Linked DNA regions of Mytilus edulis. The protein of the gene in region 1 interacts with the protein of each later gene in a biochemical or structural test. Links are inferred from orthologs where the notes say so. Each region holds a gene or a part of one and is shown in the gene's direction. Other genes may lie near its edges.

The links.
Region 2: of the proteins of poly [ADP-ribose] polymerase 1-like (region 1) and E3 ubiquitin-protein ligase CHFR-like, one has a biochemical effect on the other in vitro, tested with the Homo sapiens proteins (2 studies listed by BioGRID). The link is inferred for Mytilus edulis from reciprocal best matches to the Homo sapiens genes PARP1 and CHFR.

The regions. Positions count from the first base shown.
Region 1 is NC_092346.1:99,417,967-99,426,045, reverse strand, and holds the start of poly [ADP-ribose] polymerase 1-like, read left to right. Parts: upstream 1-5,033; 5' UTR 5,034-5,162; coding exon 5,163-5,267; intron 5,268-8,079. UniProt on the Homo sapiens protein: Poly-ADP-ribosyltransferase that mediates poly-ADP-ribosylation of proteins and plays a key role in DNA repair.
Region 2 is NC_092349.1:44,145,361-44,152,791, forward strand, and holds the start of E3 ubiquitin-protein ligase CHFR-like, read left to right. Parts: upstream 1-4,330; 5' UTR 4,331-4,401; coding exon 4,402-4,501; intron 4,502-7,300; coding exon 7,301-7,397; intron 7,398-7,431. UniProt on the Homo sapiens protein: E3 ubiquitin-protein ligase that functions in the antephase checkpoint by actively delaying passage into mitosis in response to microtubule poisons.

The DNA.
Region 1 (8,079 bases):
CTCAACAAAATTAACAAAATTGACTTTTGTCTCAACAAAATTGACAAAATTGAATTTTGTCTCACAAAAATCAATTTTGTCTCACAAAAGTCAATTTTGTCTCACAAAAGTTAATTTTGTCTCACAAAAGTCAATTTTGTCTCACAAAATTGAATCTTACCTCACACAATTGACTTTTGTGATTTAATTTCCATATCAGGTAACAAAAGTCAATTTTGTATGCAAATATGTTTATATTTGCATACCTTTTAGACAAAATTGACTTTTGTCATGACAAATATGAATTTTGTCTACAAAAATGAATTTTGTCATGACAAAAAATAATTTTGTCATCACAAAATTGAAGTTCTCACAAAACAAGTCTGTAGCACATAGTTTTGTAAGACAAAAATGATTTTGTTATGACAGAATTGAATTTTGTACAAAACTACAAGAGTCCCATTCGGCGCCCCGTAAACCCTACCCCTAACCCTTTATCAATTTCCCTTTAAACAGACAATTTGAAATGAACCAAAAGACAATGGACTGTTATTATTCCTTGTTTTACTCAAAAAAAGATTTAGTCAATAAAGCAGTATAAAAGTGAACTTAATTTCAAGATCGGACATCCATAAAATAAGTAAAACTCAACTTTAATCGGCCTAAACTTCTAAAAGGTAAATTTTGAAAATCACAAAAGTTCAAATTCTAAGAAGTTGTCCATCTACGTACGTTAAAAAATGAATTTTAACGTTTAATATCCTGCAAGATTACATATAGTTTAGTATCTTTTGTCAATTCGACAAAAGATAAGAAAAACGGCATAATATATATAAAAAAAAATAAACCAACAAACGACAACCACAGACTCCTGACTTGGGGAAAGGCACATACCGAATGTGGCGGTGTTAAACTAGTTTGTTCGCGCCAAACCCTCCCATATCCTGGGACAGTACAACTTAAGAACAAACTATACAAAACAATAAACGAAAAACAAAAATGAGAAACAGAAAAAAGCGACAACCACTCAATAACATGCAAAAAAGCGACAACCACTTATTAACATGCACCTGACTTGGGAGAGGGCACATATAATATAGAATGTTGTGAGCTTAAACTAGTCTGACGGCACTAACCCACCCCTAACCCGGGAAGTTATGTAACAGTACAACATAAGAAAAAAAAATCAGTTAGAAAAGGTCTTTTGAACTCATCAGATGGATACAAATAGAAATACATCTAACGAAAACACATAGTGGACCTGACAGGGTATTAACACATCGCCCCTCACCCCCCCCCCCCCCCCAAAAAAAAAAAAGTAGTCGTAGTGGTTAACAGCTAGTTCAAAGCAAATATCAATTAATGAAAAAATCATGCATCTAAGATGAAGATATCAATACAGATCCAACGTCCAACGGATTTAGTATAAAGACGTCATTAACAGTTATTGAAAAAAACATGACCTTGCGCAATGCCAATATACAGGTATCGACAGATTGTTGAGTCATAAATGTGCATATCACGGTATGTATATAAAAGTGATATTTAGTCTGATTTTAATTAATTTATTGAATACAAAATCAATAGTAATACCAATAAAAACAACAATCAAAGATTCAAGTACAGTCAGTGTTGCATTGGTAACCTTTTTGAATGAATCTATTTGAAATGATCGATAGGTTTATCCGGATCGTTTCTAAATTTTCTATTTCGGTAAACAACATCCCACAAAATGTTTAACAAGTTTCTACATGCGCAACTAAACTTCAAAACCATATCTTTCTGTGGAAGAATTTATTAAAGGTTTTAAGTGATTTGTGGTTACGAAACCCCCGACTAGACTAGTGTACGTTCATTGAAGTCAAAAACGTCACGACAGACACGGACATAGTAAACGAGTTGCGATATATAAACACCGTAAATGGTGAAAGGGACACCAACGTCCAAACAAAAGTGGAAAATTAACAATAGGGATTGAAAAATTGTCCCTTTTGTCATAAATTTTAAATTGACTAGTTTCCCATGTAAAACTGAAATATCGTTACTCTAAGAAAGGACAGTTATAGTTTTTATATTATGAATTTAAAGTAAGTTCCTTATGGTAAAAGTTGACAGTATATTTAGAAAATTCTTGATTATTTAACAAAAAATAGCATCAAAATAAGATCTGATAACGGTAAGTGTTTTTGAATATATAAATTAAATGCAATTTAGACAGGTCTTTACTCATAAACTGTTATTCATAAAAGTACAAGAATAATTCTGCTATTAAAGGGACGTAATTGGTGCCCATATGAATACATGCAGCCTGTCGATTAACTTTATTGCCGAACCGTACACGAATATATTCAAGGAGAAAATTAACAGCCTCAATCATCTCACCACACCGCTGTAGGAAGTATATCTATTAAGCATATTTACATTTCTCATTAGATACAAAGGCTGTTATTGAGTTGCAGCAACTATATTTGCGTTCAGATTTACCAAAGACACATATGTTCCATTGTACAAAATTATACTGTATAGATATAAGTAATACGGGCGCCGAATGGGACTCTTGCATGTGGTTTTGTACTCGAAATTCAATTTTGTACAGACAAAAGTGAGTTTTGTTAAACAAAAATGAGTTCAGTTTAACAAAATTTGTAGCATACTACAAATTTAAAATTTTGTCATACAAAATTATCTTTCAGTGGCCAAAAGTTACTTTTGTCATGACAAAATTCATTTTTGTAACACAGACTACCTAATTTGAAAATTGGGCGACAAAAGTCAATTTTGTATGCAAATTAGTTTAGTTTGGATTCTGTGAACGAATTTGCATACACAACTGATATTAAGTTACAAAATTCAATGTTGTGCCACAAGAGTCAATTTTTGTGTCACAAAAGTCAATTTTGTCACAAAAGTCATTTTTGTCACAAAAGTCCATGTTCAGTGTGTCACAAAAGTCAATTTTGTCTACACAAAAATAATTTTGTAAATTCATTTTTGTCACAAAAGTAAATTTTGTATGTAAATAAGTTTATATTTGCATACCTATTTGACAAAATTTAATTTTTGTCATGACAAAAATGATTATTGTAATGATTTTTGTCTACAAAAATGAATTTTGTTTACAAAAATGAATTTTGTTTACAAAAATGAATTTTGTCATCACAAAATTGAAGTTCTCATAAAACAAGTCTGTATCACATAGTTTTGTAAGACAAAAATGATTTTGTCATGACAGAATTGAATTTTGAACAAAACCACAAGACTCCCGTTCAGCGCCCCGTAAGTAATGACTATGTTCTAAAAATCTAAAATTGAATATACATCTAGTATTTCTATAAACTAGATTGACGGATATTTTGTATGCGTTTTGGAGGTAGAAGAATAATTGGAATATCGTTTTCCAATACTTGTATTTCATTTCCCGTCCTTCATGAGACAAAATTCAGTCCATGACAATCTGACTGTAAAATATAGTCTCATTTTACAAATCATTCATCTGTGAAATATTGTCTTTAAACAGACAGAATTTCACAATGATGAAGATATGTCCTTCTCTGGAGATAATTTCATAAATGAGGAAAATATTTCATGATACCATAGATGGGTATTACATGATAAATACATCTATGTTTTAGATACATAGTTATGACTGAAGTCCCAATGAATATAGTCACTCCTGGTGGACAATATTTCATACGGACAGTATTTAGCTTTACATATACCCTTATTACCGAATTTCTTAGTTCATACGTTATTCTTTTTAAATGTAAACTTAGTATAACAAAGTCCAAACATCTCACGACACAAGTCAGATCAGAAAACGGAGCTATTAAATGGCACGACTATAGACACGACTATATTTGGAGTAAGATATATAGTAAGAAGACCCGTTTTTCTTTCCTTTCCAAAACCGGTAAGCTTAAAAGTATAATACCAAGACTAATTTTGTAGAGTTTTATGGTATTTTAAGTGCTATTCCAAATAGATGGAAATTAAAGTAGGATAGAAGGTAGTTCTAGACTTGATAATATTGAAAATAAATTAGTAGATAAAGTTAAAAAAGAACCAAAATCTTGTAAATTTTTCTATAATTTATTTCTGGAGGATAATAAAGTATTATCACTATCTTCCCGTAACAAATGGGAAATAGACTTAAATATACAGATTGAAGATTGGAATGCTATTTATTCCATGCCCTTCATTATAACAAGAAATTCGTTTTTACAAAATTTTCAATTTAAGATTGTTCATAGAATTTTACCATGTAATTACTTTTTATATAAATGTAAATTAAAAGAAACTGAACTTTGTACATTTTGTTCAGAAGTTAGAGAAAATATTTTTCACATTTTTTGGGAATGTAATGTAACAAAAAACTTCTGGTTTTCCATTATAGATTGGATTAGAAATTATGACATCTTCTTGCCTTTTAGTGCAAAAGAGGTCATTTTAGGTGTGTCTGAGGATTTTGTCAACAGTAAAACAGTTAATAATATTTTGTTGTTACTTAAATACTATATATACAAATGTAGATGTAAGAGCGTATTGCCCACAAAATATGGTGGGATAGAATATCTAAAGTATTGGATCAAAATAGAAAAATACTCTGTATGTTTCTTAACCCCTACACAAAAAATAAAATTGGATCAGAAGTGGCAATTGTTAGAAGCAGCATTAAATTAACAAAATCAATTGTAATATTTATATCTTATTATACCATTATGATTTAATTGACCTTACAAGTGTTATTTAACTTTTTATACTTGTGTCTAATACTGTATTATGTAATTTCACATGTTTCATCTTCAAAAATAAAATAATTATAAAAAAAAAGAAGACCCGTTTTTCTTTCCTTTCCAAAACCGGTAAGTTTTTAAGATTTATTTTTTTTGGCGGGAAAGCTGTGTATAGTTGAAAACCAAAAACAGAATACAGAATACAAAAATAACAAACATAAATAAGGTTGTTAATGAATAGAAGGCATACCATTTTCCCTTTTGAATATATACTTTTTCTAAAATTATCATTTTCATCTTACAGTGATATTAAAGATTACCAGAGAGTGTCATATGCAGTTTATATTTTAATCGAACTTATGAAGTGCTTTGCGGTTTTTAGTTATTTTTTTAATGCAACGCTCAGCAAAAAGCAAAACGTGTGGGAAAGTGTAAACAAATGCTGTAAGAATGAGCGATTTCAAAGCAGAATATGCAAAAAGTGGGAGAGCGTCATGCAAAGGCTGCAAAGCAACAATCGGTCAGGAGTCTTTGAGACTTGCATTAATGGTTCAGGTATAACTGATAAATATATATTTGTTTACACCCAGAAATTGGCAGAATTTACCCTGGCTGATCCACCCAGAGAACAAACGATGTACACATCTTTTAAACTTTTCATCAAATAAGAGACACTTGTCACTGCTATAAACTAATTTGTTGAATTACTTTTTTTTAACTTGAAACTACAAACATGTACAAGTCGTCAATTGTGCATAAATTCCTTTAGTCTTCCGATTTACGGAGATGTTACAAGTAAACGAAAAGTTAACAATTTTCTGGACTACTAATTCTTTTACCAAAATAGAAGATAAGGTTCTTTTGAAAAAATGTTCCATTTACTAAACTATAGGGTATTGTGCAATTTAAGTTTTATACACCTTATGCATCAAAAGTCAGTGTTCCAGCTAGGCCGTTTTCAGAGGGCGCGGCGCCCGCCCCTTTCCGAGTGGCGCCCTGTGCCCTTTTTACAGTTTCCAGGGCGCCCTGCCTTTTTTGAAGATCGATTGCATATTAATTTGCGTATTGATATGATACGCTAATTACTAAATTTTACCTGGGGAAAAGATTATGACTTTGTTTACCACCCAAGCTAATCAATGGTTACAACTGGTGTCATAATCTGTTGTTATAGGTAATCCGTTTATCGGATGGGTCATTAATGATCATCAACATTAATTCGTTCAAATAGAATCGGTCAGTCGGCAATTATCTTTGAAGAAATGTGCATACAACAACTTGGGCACAATTTGCGATGTTTACCGTAGTTTCATGGAAGAAACGTAATGACAGAAAGTTGGAAAACCATTATTAACTCGTTGAAGACATTGTTTTATTTGTTTTCTGTAAAATAAACAGAAAATTCAGACGTATTTGTCATTGACTGCCTTCATTTTTGATACGAAAATAACAAAATCGGCGGCCATATTGTGATCATATTTACATCATATTTACGTACTGTTTATAATCCTCCAAAGAAGGAGCACACCCGAATAAAGAAAGATAACTCAATCTGATTTTTTTCTTAGCATTGAGTAACCCATTTACATATTCTAAAATGTGTCTCCATACTTCTTGCTTAATATATATGTTTAGGTATTTATTTTGAGTTATGGGAAAAGTTAAAGAGGGTCTTAGTAGCAGTGTTGGTAGGGTGCCTTGGTCATCTTTTTCTGTATTCTTTATTTTTGATACTATTTTTCACTGTTGCTTTATATCCTAAAATTGTGAATTTACTGAGCACAGCTGTTTTGTGCTGTATTGCCATCAAGCACAGCAGGGGTAGACTGAAGGTGAAACTGGTAAAATGTGGTAGACCATAGAAACAGTATGAAACAGATCTCCTTTCAAAACATACTGCATATAAAGTTCAACTGTGCCAAGCAATGATAAAAAAAAACTTGTGTGACAAGCTGCTTGACAAGTTTTTCAGCCTTAAAAGTAGAAAGATAGAGTTCTATATGGGCTAAAGATGTTGTTCTTGTATAACCTGTGATTCAACGAATAAACACAAATGTTTGATTAACATCTTTTATTAAAATATGCCCTTTTCATATTATCTTTTCGCGCGTTAAATGCCCTTTTTCAGGATTGGCACCCTGCCCTTTTGAAAACCTAGCTGGAACACTGAAAGTTCAAGCAGCCGGGTCAGCCGGGATTAGCGATAAGGTGTATTGTTTATAAACAATAGATGTTAAAAAAATCATCACTTATATCTTCCTCTGACCTATGAGGGTGGTAAAGAGGGGCCCTGAACACGGAAACACGTGAAATAAAAATCGGAAAAATAGAAGCACAAGAATTAAATCAGCCGTTCTTATCAGGTAGTCATTTATAATGGACATGATGAACCTGCAGTCCGCACCGTTTAGCGTTTGCTTTACTAGTTACAACTGATTTGAATAAAAAATATTATTCATAATAATTAAAATGATAGCAATTTAAAATTTTCTTGGAACATATAATTTGAAAATTCTCCTGACCGACTTTAAATTTTCCCGGTTTTAATATTTTGGAAAATGACGCTATCAGCAGCATGTTTCCGATACAATTGACCAGAACTAAAGGAAGTTGATTATATTTCCGCCTACAGCACTCGGTTTCATATTTACTATTTTACATACTAACTGGAATCTGCTTGTATTACGCTACACTCGAACAAAGTGTAGAAGTCAGACGGGAACCAGTTTACATACTTTATTCTCCAAAATTGGACCTTCCAGAGGGGTGCGGTCTATAGAGTACAATAAGCAAGAAATAAGAGATAAAGTTCAATTTTGCGGCAAGGTGGTTTGTTTACGTTCCGCCATCTTTGTTATTGATATTGTAGAGGGCGCTCTCATCATTTTTCAAACTAATAATTTTAACACGCCCTTATTAATAAGTTCTTTCTATTCAATATCAAATTAATACTGATAAATATAAAAACTAAACCGTTCAATACAAATTTCTCGTTTCTTTTCAATGCATTGGTTGAAATAAACTGGTATCTGCTTGATTGAAATGATATAAACATAGTAAAAAAGACAACCGTAAACCAACTTAGAATTTGTAAACTACAAAATGTAATCGGTTATTGTTCATTCCGTTTTGGTGTTTCATACTGACTAATATGGTTTGTATTTGCTTAAGACCCTTCAAACATTAATGTGATAGGTATATTTAAGACTGTTTTACAAAAGGATGGAAGTGTTTAACTTTCAAAGTCGTATTATATTGATATCTGTCATGTACAGATTTTGACTCTCACCGGTTAATTTCTTCTTTTACACATGCTTTTTAAACTTCCTGTTTAAACATACACAAGTTTCTAAATTGTTTTTTAAGT
Region 2 (7,431 bases), on another chromosome or scaffold:
GATTATAATTATATTAAAACTAATGTGAGGCAGCGTCTCCAGGACCAGTTTATTCAAAAATGGTTCTCTGATATAGATAACTCATCAAGGGGGAATTTTATTTACACTTTAAGAAGAGTTTTGCTTAGAACCATATCTGTTAAAATTAAGGCGGGGTCATAGAGTAAATATATGTAAATTAAGGGTATGTAATACAAAGTTTCCCATTGAAACAGGAAGATGGAGAAATGTACCACGAAATGAGAGAATTTGTCCTCTTTGTAAAGCTGGTCTTGTGGATGTGTACCACTATATATGTATATGTACCAATTATAAAGTTAAAGATTTAAGGGGGAAGTTCATACCTCCTTATTATTTAAAATATACAACTGTTAAAAAAGTACTGGGCATGCTTAAATATTGTAATAATAATGTGCTGTCTAAGCTGTCAATTTTTATTCAAAAGGTAGAAAAGATGCTTGTCTGATTTAAAACTGCAATAAACAAAGATTTATCTCTGAAGATGTATAATTTAAAAATGTATTCTGTTTGTATTATGAAATATGTTGTGATTTATATTGTGCATAATATGCTCCTGTTACGCAGTCTTCTCAATGCGGCTGAGTTTTCTTTAATAAACTAAACTAAACAAAAGTATCATTTAGCACCATATGATCACAGCTCTTTCTAATAACTCCATCTTCATATAAGGTTATTGTTTAAATATCAAACCTACATTTAAACAAAGAGACTAGACATTAATGCAACACATATTCAAAAGTCTTTCTCATTAATAGAGGATGGATCGAAAAGTCTAATAGTAGCAGGCGCGGATCTAGAATTAAAAGTGTCTTTTTTTAATCATTTTGAAAATTATAGAAGTTGTCGTGTTATACCAAACCTTATGTTTTTCAATAAGTGGCACACTTTTTTGTTCATCCGGCATATTGTTACTCAAAATAAACGTTTAAGATTAGTTAAATCATCTAATTACAGATAAAAATACTTCAATATAAGAAAATGGCAAAGATTGAATTTACAAAGTTTTCCTGAAAGTCTATTGTTTATGATTTCATCCTTCTGTTTAATATAGGCTCTAGCATACTGATCGATCATTGCTCTTTTGTCAATATCAGTGCTGATATCACAAAGCTTTTAAGCAAGGCAATTGAGTCATGAAAATCATGAAAATTGCGATTTTTATTGTGAACGACTCGCGGTGTAATATTTTAGGAGTTTGAGAGAGTTGAAAGTCTTGTGCTTTTAATAAGTCTTCTTGTTTGGTGGTATTTATTTTTTCATGAGATTTACACTCACCATTTACTTTTACCAAACTCTCAACCGGTTTCTTAACAAACTGTCCGAGGTTGTGGTCACTGAGTAGCGAACAAAACGCAAACTTTGCAGTAAATTCTGTCCTATGAAGTTGAATTGTTTTAGCCGTCATGGCGTTGTCAGATTATTTTCGATTAATGAGTTTGACTGCCCCTCTGGTATCTTTCGACCCTCTCTTGAGCACTATAGTACAGATGTGGAAATAAAATTTGCAATCATATCCTTAGATTCTGCAGATGCAAAATCAAATTTGTTTTTTATAAAATCTTAGGGTTTACTAGTAAAGGTAGTGTGCTGCATAAGAATATTGTTCTATATACAACTTGAAAACTTGTTTTACTTAATAAATATATTGCAGAATGGCAAACGAAAATTTTGTCACAGAGGAATGGTAACAAGCTTCGTACTTGTAAGCTATATCAATCACAATATTGAACAGAGTTATATTTAAATCAAAATATGTCTATCAAATTTAGAAGTGCTTATGCAAACTTTTGATGTATATGTGACGTTGTGCCACTTAAAATAGAAACAGAACGATATGATGAGAAGTATTAAACCAATAAATGAGAGATCTTGTTTTATGTGTAAAAATAAAATTGATGTCTTTACTTTATGTCATTTATATATGCAGACCTTCGAAACATATTGTACATAGTGAAGCAGTAAATCATAATAATCACTTAATTTTATAACATGTCTATAATTGACGAAAAATTTATATTTTATTCCGAGAAATGAAGAACTATGTCAGGTAGTTAATTGCTTAAACCTAGCTGCTTCAATATTTTATACAGAAGAACACATTTCTTGTTTGTATATAGCTGAAACAGAAAGTACTGATCGAAGCAGTTATCAAAATAATGTTTATTAATGATATAATAAGTAAATCTTCATTCCGCAATCCCATTGCCTTGAATAATACTAATAAAAAAAAAAACAGAAACAATCACTGAATCCTTATAATTCTGCGATGAATGCTGTTTTGATATACAAATGTTCTGTAATAACAAAACGTTATTATTATTTTTTTTAAATATTAGAACTTGCTTTTTTTTGTCTTTCTTTATCATTGAAAAGATTATATAATAACATACTGTTACACATTTTGTTTTATTCTTGATTTATATTATCCGATTATCTACTGATTTGTAACATTAATGATTGAAGTAGATATTTGTATGTTAGAAGATTAAGATAAGGTCCCTTCTAATGTATAAAGGTGTTATTATGCTGCTTATTCTGTGGTTCTTAGCATTGTTATCCCATTTATCATAGTGTATGTGTGCTATAGTATGTGATGTACCATTAACTATACAGTTCTAGTGTTGTAAACGTGATTTGAAAATGGTATATGTAGATCAAACAATGAATATAATTAAACACTTGTAAATTAAGAAGACCGGGCTATCGTTTTGAATGTTATTAATAATACCGCACAAATACAGCACATACATAGGAAGTCTTTTACAGAAATGGATATATACTCTATTGAATACTTATCACAAAGGTATCAGCATTTTGCATGAGCTCATAAAATATGGTTGAAAGATACTCTAGCGGTAGATAAAAATGTGGGAGGATTATGATTTTATGTACATTTCTTTTTCAAATGTGGTGAAGAGTTGTGCAAAGACTAAATGGGTTATACTTGCGGGCACACATTTTTAAAACTGCTGTGAAAATATGTTGTTGTTTAAATGTTAACATGGTTAAAGAAGACGAGGAAGACACCATGAGCAACAGGAACCCTCTCATAAAACAAGGAGATGATCTAAGGTGTTCAAGGAGGGTCAGCAGGTGTTATTGGTTAAATAGCTTGATGAGTCATATCCAGTATAATCACATTAGAAACATGTTGGTATATGTTAGGTATACCAATATCTTTTTAATTCTCTTATCTTATATTTCACCAAATGTGAAAGTTTTAAATGAAATCAGGTTTGCCATTTCTGTGTGATGGATACTACTGCTTTAAAAACTCATTTGTAGACAACACAGATATGAAATAATAAGGATCAAATCACACAGCATTGACAAATTTTTTTTGGGAAAAAAATACATGTACTATGAATCGTACAAGGAGAGGTAGAACATGTGGTATGGGCTTTACTCATAGTTGAAGGCCGTCAGGTGACTTATAACTGTTATTTTTTTTGAAATTTGGTTGAGCTTTGTCTCATAAGCAGTCATACCACTTCGCCTTTATTTAAAATCTTAATTTATGATTTAGATGGTACACAGTCAAACAAATCATAAAGGCGTCACGAAAACGTTCGAATGTTCCCATTTAAGGGATATTTGATTAAAATATTATGCAAGCCATGTATTATGGAAACACAATCCTTAGAACGTAGTATCAACTGCAAATAGCAATTCGAAGAACGAAATGAATATCAACAGAGCTATGTTTTAGTAAATTTTAGATAAATAATTTTTTTACATTTTTGGCGGCCATTTTGAAATGTCCGCCATTTAAATTTATTTTTAAAGTTTTAAATACCGCCTTGACTTACTTGAAACGTTGAATTACATTTGTTATGCTTTAAAAATATTAGAATTGAATATTATTTGCTGTAATCTTGAAAATGGCCGCCATATTGGATTTTTCAGGGTGGGTCCATATAGCTTAAATTGACAACCATATATAGATCTACCATTGTGCAAAGTTTCATGCTTTTATCATCAAACCCACAATTCTTTTGAAAAAATGCACGAATCAGCTGGACTAATATATCATTAGTCGGACAAGCGTATGGATGTAATTAATACGCGTTAGTTTGTTATCAAACTGTGTATTGACCTTTTAATTTTAGAATAATAGAGTTCAAATGTATCAATATTCATGTTGTAAGTTATTGTCATTTTGACGTAAATGTTTTTAAACCAATGGGACGATACGATTTATTTTCCGATTATCTCTGATATTTACTCATTTGATATGGTAAAGTCCCAACAGGTTCGAATAAGATCTTCCCAGCATATTAGCATTGGTTTCCCTCCCCCTTACTTATATTCCCCTGTTTGGGCAGATATCTAGAGACTTTGAGTCAGACCTGCACAATTTTAGGTGAATCAGTTTTAAGCATGGATGCAGATGCATGGGGACAGCTTGTCAGCTTGACAGATATCGATACTGAACCAATAATGCTAGCGTCAGACTCATTTACCATCGGAAGGGCAAAAGGTGGGGGAGATAAATGTAACTGAAACGTAAACATCAGTCAAGTTCGTTTTTTCCCGTTTATGGGTTTCTAAAACTGAGAACACACCTAAACTTTCTTCTTTTTATACAAAAAAAAAACCAACCCTCAACTCATTGTTCTCTTTCTTCGACTATTCAAAACAAACACATTGTAGTCTGTTGTTATTTATGTATTATTGTCATTTTGTTTATTTTCTTTGGTTACATCTTCTGACATCAGACTCAGACTTCTCTTGAACTGAATTTTAATGTGCGTATTGTTATGCGTTTACTTTTCTACATTGGTTAGAGGTATAGGGGGAGGGTTGAGATCTCACAAACATGTTTAACCCCGCCGCATTTTTGCGCCTGTCCCAAGTCAGGACCCTCTGGCCTTTGTTAGTCTTGTATTATTTTAATTTTAGTTTCTTGTGTACAATTTGGAAATTAGTATGGCGTTCATTATCACTGGACTAGTATATATTTGTTTAGGGGCCAGCTGAGGGACGCCTCCGGGTGCGGGAATTTCTCGCTACATTGAAGACCTGTTGGTGACCCTCTGCTGTTGTTTTTTATTTGGTCGGGTTGTTGTCTCTTTGACACATTCCCCATTTCCATTCTCAATTTTACTAATATGAGGCAGGCATTATCTGTGAAATGGGGAGAAGTGTGTATGAATAATTTTTTAAAATTCAAACATGTTAAAAAAAGAAACGGAAACACCGTAATGTTTCTGGATTTGGTTCTGTTGTTAGGGATTTAGTTGTGATGTTATTTAAGTTAAGACATCATATTTAATGTAAACAAAGACTGATCGAAAGAAACGCTTTCATCAGGTAACGTTCATATAGAACGATTATTAAAAATGAATTGGTATTGAGTTCCAATCCTTTATTTTACTATACTGATAAATATATATTTTTTTCAAAGTCTCATGCATACAAGACTGGGAAAAGGAAGTAGATTTCTGCGTAAATGCAGGGATTTAAAAAAGTTTGAAAAAAAGTTCTATATATATAAATTGAACATATTGAAAAATTCTGGAAATTTTCCTGATTTTTGTTTTATTTTGTTTTTTTACCCCACTTCCATGTTGAGCAAGGGATATATATATATACAGATATATATTTGTTTCCTAACCAGTTCATTTAGGGGTCCTCTTCATGGTCTGAGTTAACGTTTCGACTATGTTTATTTCTTTGAGAAATTAGAGACAATAATTAAGATTTTAATAACTAAATTTTCAAGTGTTGGGAGAAATTTCAGGATAAACACAATATATGTACATTGTCAGAAAATATAAAATCATGATGTATAGAAGATGTGGTATGATTGCCAATTAAACAACTGTGAGTCTGTCCACAAGAGACCAAAATGACACAGACATTAACAACTATAGGTCACCGTATGGCCTTTAATAATGAGCAAAGCCCATACTGCATAGTCAGCTATAAAAGGCTATGATATCAAAATTCAACAAGAAAACCAACGGCCTTATTTATATAAAAAAATGAATGATTAAAAAATATGTTATAGATAAACAAACGACAACAACTGAATTACAGCCTCCATAAAAAATGTGGAGTGGTTAAACATGTTAGCAGGATCCCAACCCCCCCTTAAATGGGACAGTGGTATAACAGCACAACATCAATGAACATAAGAAGACAGGGGATTTTCTTACATGTCTTATTTAATCAATTAAATTGAAACAAACACAAGTCTGTAAGAGAACCTTACTAGACTGTAGTGATGAATTACCATAAGCAAGGCTTTAGAAGGTAAAATTGTTCAGAAAAATCCTGTTTAACTTGGTATCAGGTTGATTCACTCTGATTACATACATGTACATAATCATGTAATATTCCACTGGATCTGTTTGCCCTAAGTACATTTGCCCTGGGTTCTTTCTCGCTTTTTTAATTCTTCTACTACAGTGTCAGTTGTATTTACATGATTTAGGTTTAAATTGAACTTATTCATGTTATTCAAATATTTATATAAATATGATCAATACAAAAGAAAATATCTTATATTCTCGAAAATTTGCTCATTTAACCTTGATAACCATGATAACTAATTGTTCAATTCAATGAATATATTTTTGATCAACCATGGAAAATCAATGAAACAAGACTTTTAAGGGATAAACTATGCTGTAATAACAAGGCTTAGTCATCACAGGCATATAACTATATATTATCAGATAATATAAGACACTTTGGTATTACTTGGAAGATTAATCGTGCGCATAAGTTATGAGGCATACCTTCATGCTCTGATCATTAATTCTTACAATAAATTAATGTACATAAGATGTATCTAATATGTGTAGAGATGTAGAGAAACTGTAAAAACATCCTTTAGATATTATAGGCATGTATTTTCTATAATAACATAGGTGTACTTATCTGCTTATGCATGATTGACAACCTAAATGAACTAAGTTATCTTTCTTAAGTTTATTATACATAAAGACAATAATAATATCAATAGAACTTGTTTACCATTTAACAAAATGAACGATGTATATTGTGCCTTTGAAACCTGTAACATACAAATGTTATCACAGTTTTCTGATTTTTTTTAGTCCAAGATTAAAAACGCACATGTTATTTTTCTCCAATAACTTATTTACTTGTTATATGTAGCAAAACAAATTGATTGTTTTTTTTTAAATGTACAATGATGCATATTTTTACCTTCTAGTACATGGATTAAGGCTGTGAGATTGTTGATACAAATAAGTTTGTAATGGTTATAATCAAATAAAATGTAACTTTTTTGCTTATAATATTGTAGACTGTGATTTACCATATACTGACAACAAGCTTGTGTCCAGTAGACATTGTAGCATACAGAAAGATGAGAGTGGAACTGTCTGGCTCTGTGATTCAAGGTATGTACAATGAATGGTCAAACAAATTTATACA